2 linked regions of the Callithrix jacchus genome follow. The main gene of each other region encodes a partner of the protein of the gene in region 2 in a complex. Links are inferred from orthologs where the notes say so. Each region holds a gene or a part of one and is shown on either strand. Other genes may lie near its edges.

The links. The genes of interacting proteins can lie anywhere in the genome.
Region 1: the proteins of KIF13B (region 2) and ADAP1 are in contact, whole or in part, in a crystal structure (PDB 3MDB), measured with the Homo sapiens proteins. The link is inferred for Callithrix jacchus from reciprocal best matches to the Homo sapiens genes KIF13B and ADAP1. Residues at the interface, in NP_056069.2 of Homo sapiens: Val451, Asn452, Leu453, Asn454, Ala455, Asp456, Pro457, Leu463, Arg512, Phe514, Asn516, Gly517, Arg531, Leu533, Asn536, Asn537, Phe539; in NP_006860.2 of Homo sapiens: Trp137, Asn143, Gly144, Gln145, Phe146, Leu147, Pro186, Ala187, Lys188, Ile189, Gly190, His191, Pro192, His193, Tyr211, Glu213.

Annotation. Positions count from the first base shown.
Region 1 is NC_133503.1:58,078,445-58,082,009, reverse strand, and holds part of ADAP1 (arf-GAP with dual PH domain-containing protein 1), read right to left. Parts: intron 1,596-3,565; coding exon 1,465-1,595; intron 1-1,464. UniProt on the Homo sapiens protein: GTPase-activating protein for the ADP ribosylation factor family. Binds phosphatidylinositol 3,4,5-trisphosphate (PtdInsP3) and inositol 1,3,4,5-tetrakisphosphate (InsP4). Regulates the incorporation of CD63 and CD9 into multivesicular bodies.
Region 2 is NC_133514.1:12,564,458-12,568,022, forward strand, and holds part of KIF13B (kinesin-like protein KIF13B), read left to right. Parts: intron 1-938; coding exon 939-1,109; intron 1,110-2,684; coding exon 2,685-2,842; intron 2,843-3,565. UniProt on the Homo sapiens protein: Involved in reorganization of the cortical cytoskeleton. Regulates axon formation by promoting the formation of extra axons. May be functionally important for the intracellular trafficking of MAGUKs and associated protein complexes.

The sequences.
Region 1 (3,565 bases), on a different chromosome or scaffold from region 2:
CAGCTTGAGTTCTAACAAGCCCCCAGGTGTAGCCCATGCACCAAGGCTGCCTGTTAGAAGCAAACGAGCTGCTGCCAGCGGGGTCTGGGGTCAGTGCTGCTGGAGAGGGGGTCCGAGGTCAGTGGTGCTGGAGAGGGGGGGCCGGAGTCAGTGATGCTGGAGATGGGGGGCCGGGGTCAGTGGTGCTGGAGAGGGGGGCCGGGGTCAGTGGTGCTGGAGAGAGGGTCCGAGGTCACTGGTGCTGGAGAGGGGGGCCGGGTCAGTGGTGTTGGAAGGGCTGGGGTCAGTGGTGCTGGAGCAGGGGTCAGGGTCAGTGGTGCTGGAGAGAGGGGGCCGGGGCCAGTGGTGCTGGAGAGCCAGGGGCTGAGGTCAGTGGCCCTGGAGAGCAGGGACCAGGGTCAGTGGTCCTGGAGAGCTGGGGCTGGGAGCAGCGGTCAGTGGTGTTGAAGAGCTGGGAAGACGTGCACAGGGGCGACCAGCCTCTATGACCCACCCCGTCCCCACAGCAGCCCCCAGACCACTGCTCTCATGTCCACGCGGCCCCTCTGTCCCTCTCACCAGCAGCCAGGTAGATCTGTGACTCTGAGACCTAAAGCCTCATGAGCAGAGCTGGAGCAAACCTCCCACCCGGGTCTTCAGGCCCCACACTCCATCCCAGCTGCAGCCCATCCACCCTCACTGGGGCCTCATTCCTTCTCCAATTCCCTTGGGGTCTCCCTTTGGGGCCCTTCCTGCCACCCCCAGCCTACATGGCTCCCCCTGCACCACCAGGTTCTTGGTTGCTCACACCATCTCCCTCCCCAGAGGGGTGTCTCTAGGGCCCCAAGAGGCATCTGTGGCTGGTGTCCCTGCCTGGCCATGACAGGAGCTTCAGCAACTTTATCAGATGCATGGCTGAGAGGTGGGCGGTGGCTGTGTCACCTCAGAGGCTGCCCAGGGGACCGGCCGTAAGCGGCAGCAGGCCGGGGTACACAGGGACTACCGGGAAATGCGACTTGGGGTCGAGGTGGGGCCGAATGGGTCTGGGGCGATGCATTCTGTTTTCTTTTTCCTTCTTTCTTTTTTTTTTAAAGAGACAGTGTCTCACTCTGTCCAGGTGTGAGGATTTGAGGGGAGCGCTCAGGAGCTTCAGGCCATGGGAATAAGCTTTGGCCTTCACTCCCAGGCCCACCACACACACCTGGAGCTGCCCACAGAGGGGTGGACCCAGCACGGGGTGAGAGGAGCAGCACACAGGAGGAGCCGTGGGAGAGGGGTTGGGGTCCGGTCCTGCAGCTGCTCTGGCCTCCGCAGCCTCGGGGCCAGTCAGCCGGCCCCTCAGAGCAGCTCAAGGCCCCAGGGAGCCACAGCCAGACCGCCTGGCGCCTGTGCCTCAAAAGGCCAGAGCTGGGGCCACCCAGAGTGTGGTGCAAGACTGCGTGGGGTGGGGGCCTCCCTTCCTCCCTCCCCCCACCCCCACCGTACCTCCACTTGGGCCTCATCCCAGGCATCCAGGCGGATGGACTTGACCTTGCTGACCTGGGGGATGTTCCGGTGGATTCCCGAGCAGCTCAGGCAGATGAACACTCCCAGAGTGTAGGAGGCCCAGTCAGGATCTGCAAGGAAAAGCCGGGCATTCATAGTGGCTCAGCCCAGGGGCCCCGGAGGGAGGGTGGGCGGAGCCTGGGGTCAGGGTCAGGAGCCCCCAGCATGCCGTGGGAGGCTTTAGAGGAGACCCCCAGGTACAGCTGGCTCTGTGCAGACACCTTACCCCATCATCACCTGAACCCCGACCCCACCCAGTTGCAGGCAGAGCTCTCCCAAAACACCCCTTGACATCTGAGGAAGCTGATCTGCACAGGCTCTGCACGGGGTGCCAGGAACCTCCAGCAGAGGCTGGCCCAACAGGAGCCACCCAGCGCTTGTGAGGACGTGGCCCACGTGCTTTCCCGGTGTCTGCTGCCCTGGGAGACAGAGCCAAGATTGGAAAACTCAGATAGGATCTGAGTGCAAGGGAGGCCTCCATCCAACGCGGTGCCTGTCCCCGAACAGACCATAGCCGCAGAAGCGCTCAAGATGCACCGTGCGTTGGTGACAGCGCCCAGCCAGCACTAACTTGGCAGGTATGACAAAGGCCCTCTGGCTTCACCCTGCCACAAATTCAGCCTGTCTAGGGATTCCACATCTCCATGTCTAATTTGCCTTAAAAGGGTCAATAAAGCTGGGCACTGTGGCTCACACCTGTAATCCCAGTGCTTTTCGAGGCTGAGGCGGACAGATCATGAGGTCAGGAGTTCCAGATCAACCTGACCAATGTGGGGAAATCCCATCTCTACTAAAAATATAAAAATTAGTCAGACGCAGTGTGCATGCCTGTAATCCCAGCTACTCGGGAGGCTGAGGCAGGAGAATCACTTCAACCCATGGGGCAGAGGTTGCAGTGAGCCGAGATCGCGCCATTGCACTCCAGCCTGGGCAACAGAGTGAGACTCTGTCTCACACACACACACACACAAAGCTTCAACAAAGCTGGGAATTGTGGCTCGTGCCTGTAATCCCAGGGCTTTGGGAGGCTGAGGCAGCAGAATCTTTTTCTTTTTTTTTTTTTTTTTTGAGACAGAGTCTCTGTCACCCAGACTGGAGTGCAATGGCACAATCTCGGCTCACTGCAACCTCTGCCTCTTGGATTCAAGTGATTCTCCTGCTACAGCCTCCTGAGTAGTGAGGCACGTACCACCACACATGGCTAATTTTTGTATTTTTAGTAGAGATGGGGTTTCACTATGTTGGCCAAGCTGGCTGCCTCGGCCTCCCAGAGTGCTGGGATTATAGGCATGAGCCACCATGTGGGGTATGGGTGCCACAGCACAGTCTTCTTCTGCACATGTGAAATGTCTCATTCTGAAATGGCAAAGTGAGCCATAGGGAAGGTGCAGCTGGGCTGCGGTGTGACTCTCCTGTTTTCTTCCTGCTCCAAACGACCATCACAATAACGGCTGAAGAGAGCCCTAGAGAGAACAGTCTCTCTGGGGGAGATGTGTCAGCTCCGAAATGCTTTTATTTTTAAGTGGAGGCTCTCCTGGGTGAGGCTGATGGTAATCGAGGTACTTCCCGACAGGCAGGTGCCGAGGCGGAAGGAAGCCTGTCTGGGGAATCATGAGTGGAGAGGACCCCGCCCTCCAGGCCTGGCTGAGTATAGACCCCCTCCTCACACTGCTTGGGGCCCACCCTTGACTGGTGGGGGGACTCCAGTGCAGGGAAGTGGAGGCCCAGTGGGGCCGGGTCTGGACCCTGAGTCACTGCCAGGAGGAGAGGCACCCAAGCCAGCCCCGCTGGAGATCATGTTGTACATGCGAACCAACACGTGGGGCCCCTGGGATTTGGGGGTTGCCTGTCACAGACATCAATGGAGAGACAGACTTCATTAATTGGGCTCCCTGATTAACGAAGTCCGTCTCTCCATTAACATGGGCTGCCTGAGGACCCAAGACCCAGCATCCCCAGATCTGACACGGAGCTCAGTACAGAGCAGGTCTCCACAGGAGTCGTGAATGAAGGAGCCACCAATAGCCCTAGTTCAACAGAG
Region 2 (3,565 bases):
TAAGGAAGTCTTTCTGTAAACATTGGCCCAGAAAATCGTCAGTGTTTACCATCTTCACTTCTTTTCCTTCTCCCCCCAGATCTTTATACATTTCTGATGCTTTTAAGTTCTCCCAAACAATGCTGTAGTAGCGTGTAACACTTTCAGTTGAGAACCTTGTTTCCTTTTTTTTTTTGTCTCACTCTGTCGCCCAGGCTGGAGTGCAATGGCATCTTGGCTCGCTGCAACCTCTGCCTCCCGGGTTCAAGTGATTCTTCTGCCTCAGCCTCCTGAGTAGCTAGAAATACAGGTGTACACCACTACCCCTGGCTACTTTTTGTATTTTTAGTAGAGATGGGGTTTCTCTATGTTGGCCAGGTTGGTCTCAAACTCCTGATCTCATGATCTACCCGCCTTGGCCTCCCAAAGTGCTGGGATTACAGGCGTGAGCCACCATACCCCGCCTACCTTGTTCCTTTTTATACTTTAAAACATCAAATCTATGTTTCGCTCTTTCCTTGATATTTGTTGTTTCTTGGCATGTACACTGATTTTGTTCTGCATTCACTGTACTTGACAGTCTTGTTCTGTTCTGTGGCATATCCATGATTAGCCAAGTTCATATCCTTGCAGAGTGCTGATGTTTGACATCTGTCTTTGAATTGATGATGATGATGATGATGATTATATTCAGAGCAACTGACATTTAAATGTTCTTATGCTTCACAACGTCCACCTCTGTAGTCAGGGTCCTTGTAACCCCGTGTCCAGCTCTCGCTAAATACAGTAATTGCTACCACAGTTTTCCAGATGCAGAAGTCGAATCTCAGGTTGAACGGGATTTGGCTATCATAAGTCCTAAGTTAGTGACAGAGCTGGAACTGGAACCTGCACCTGTGACTCCGAGTGCTTGTTGCAACTCTCGGATTTCAAAACACACAGCCTTCTTTTTCCTTCAGGTTAAAATCCTCCAAGCTACTGGGTTGCCACAGCATCTGTCCCACTTTGTGTTCTGCAAATACAGCTTCTGGGATCAACAGGAGCCGGTGATTGTCGCTCCTGAAGTGGACACCTCCTCCTCTCCCGTCAGCAAGGAGCCGCACTGCATGGTTGTCTTTGATCACTGCAATGTGAGTTTGTTTTCCAGAGTAGGTCAGCATTTAGATCACTCATGTAAAAACAAAGCAGAAAATGAACCTTATTTCTTTGAATAATTGTGCCAAGATATCTTGGAGCAGTTTCTGTGCAATGTGGGGATTGAGCAAAAAGTGTCAATGCATCTGTACTCCTCCACAACCCAAAGGTCACTTTTGCATGAGAAACAAATACCTATGTATGTATATGTGCATTTTCTTCTCTAAAGAAAATCTATGCCCTGTATTAGATTACTGGAGAAATTATCTAAAACCATTAAGAAACTTTTGTTTTAGAGAAAGCAAACATAGGTAGCAGAGAAGAGCTAACTGTTGAGCACCAAATGCTCTGTGAAGCTGTTACTTCTTCATTTGATGCTCACCACAGGTGTATTTGATGATAGTGCATTTGTTGTTGTTGTTGTTTTGTTTTGTTTTTTTGTTTTGAGACAGAGTCTTAGTCTATCACCCAGGCTGGAGTGCAGTGGCACGATGTCGGCTCACTGAAACCTCTGCCTCCCAGGTTGAAGCAATTCTCCTGCCTCAGCCTCCCAAGTAGCTGGGATTACAGATGCCTCCCACCACACCTGGCTACTTTTTTTTTTGGTATTTTTAGTGGAGATGGGGTTTTACCATGTTGGTCAGAATGGTTTTGAACTCCTGACCTCCAGTGATCTGCCCACCTTGTCCTCCCAAAGTGCTGAGATTACAGGCATGAGCTACCATGCCTAGCCAGTAGTGCACTTTTTTTTTCCAGCTGAAAACACAAACAGTTCAGAGAGGTCAGTTTGCCCAAAATAGTTGCTCGTCGGTTTGTCCGTGGCTGGTGACCAGCTGAATGTGGACTGTTGGGTCCCCAAGTCTTTGTTGCTCCTGCACCACATTTGATCCAGCTCATCTCTTTCGAGAGAAAGGTCTCTTTCTAATCCATTTAAAACAAATACTTCAGTACATTAAAGATGGAGAGAGAGAGAGGAGACACCAGCAGAGATAGGAGATTCTGTGGTTTCTGTAATAAACTGTCTTAGAGCTCATTCCTAATTGCAAAATGCTATCTTATAAAAATGGACGGGCTGGGAGAATTTTTACATATCAGGTCTTTTTTTTTTTTTTTTTTTTTTTTTTTTTTTTGGTGCTAACGATTATTTCCCTTACCTCCTAATAGAGATAGGTAGCTTTCTAAAAAGTGGGAAAAACAGTTTTGAACACACTACCTTATTGCATATAATAACTTTTATATCAACACATTATAGACCAGTGTTGTAACACTTTGTACAATTAGGCTTTTAAAAATAACTCTCAGAATGCTGCTAACAAAACAATACAATGCTGATCTTACATACTAGACTTCTGAGGTGAAAAGTTTTAAAAAATTTAGATTTATAGTTATGTTTAAAGTCAAGAACCTTAGGCCGTCTGAGCATTCATTATGCGTCTTAGCTGACAGTTCCGTATAACTAAAACATTCCTTTTTCTATTTTTTTTCTTATGTAATTAAGTATGTGATGTCTGGTATCAATCCTAAGGTTACCAGAAGGAGTTGCCTCTTTGTGATCAGCTATTGTGTTTCAGGAGTTTTCTGTTAACATCACTGAAGACTTTATCGAGCATCTTTCTGAAGGAGCATTGGCAATTGAAGTATATGGACATAAAATGAACGATCCTCGGAAAAACCCAGCCCTGTGGGATTTGGGAATCATCCAAGCAAAGACACGTAGTCTTCGGGACAGGTGAATGTTAGATGTTCATCTGATTCCATTTATATATGTGTAATTTTTTTTTTTTTTTGAGACAGTCTCATTCCCTTTGTCACCCAGGCTAGAGTACAGTGGCATGATCTTGGCTTGCTGCAACTCCGGCCTCCCAGGAGTAAACAATTCTCTTGCCTAAGCCTTCCGAGTAGCTGGGATTATAGGCATGCACACCACACCTGGCTAATTTTTATATTTTTAGTGGAGCTGGGGTTTCACCATGTTGGCCACACTGGTCTCAAACTCCTGACCTAAAGTGATCCGCCAACCTCAGCCTCCCAAAGTGCTGGGATTGCAGGCATGAGCCACCATGCCTGGCCAGATTCCATTTATAATTTTTAAAGACTGCTAGAAATTAGTACTGCCATTTATGAAGGTTACTCTTTCCTGAGCATGACCAGGGTTCCCTGGAGGGATGGTAGTGTCTCCAGGGTGTTAATCACGCAGGGAAGCAAACTTCACAGAATGATGGAAGAAAGTTCAATTTGTAGCTGGTTAAAAAGAAACAGTGAAATTAATTTTGGAGAATAGTGACTTACCATTCTGAATTACTTCTAATTAATCAGGTGTAGAGAGGATGGATCAAGATTCACTCTAGAGTTCACACTTTCTTTGTCTTTAGCTCATGGTTCTGAGTGGCTTCGTTGTTGGAAAGAGGTAGGTTTCTTTGCGGACTTAAAAGGAAGCATTAAAAGGGAATGA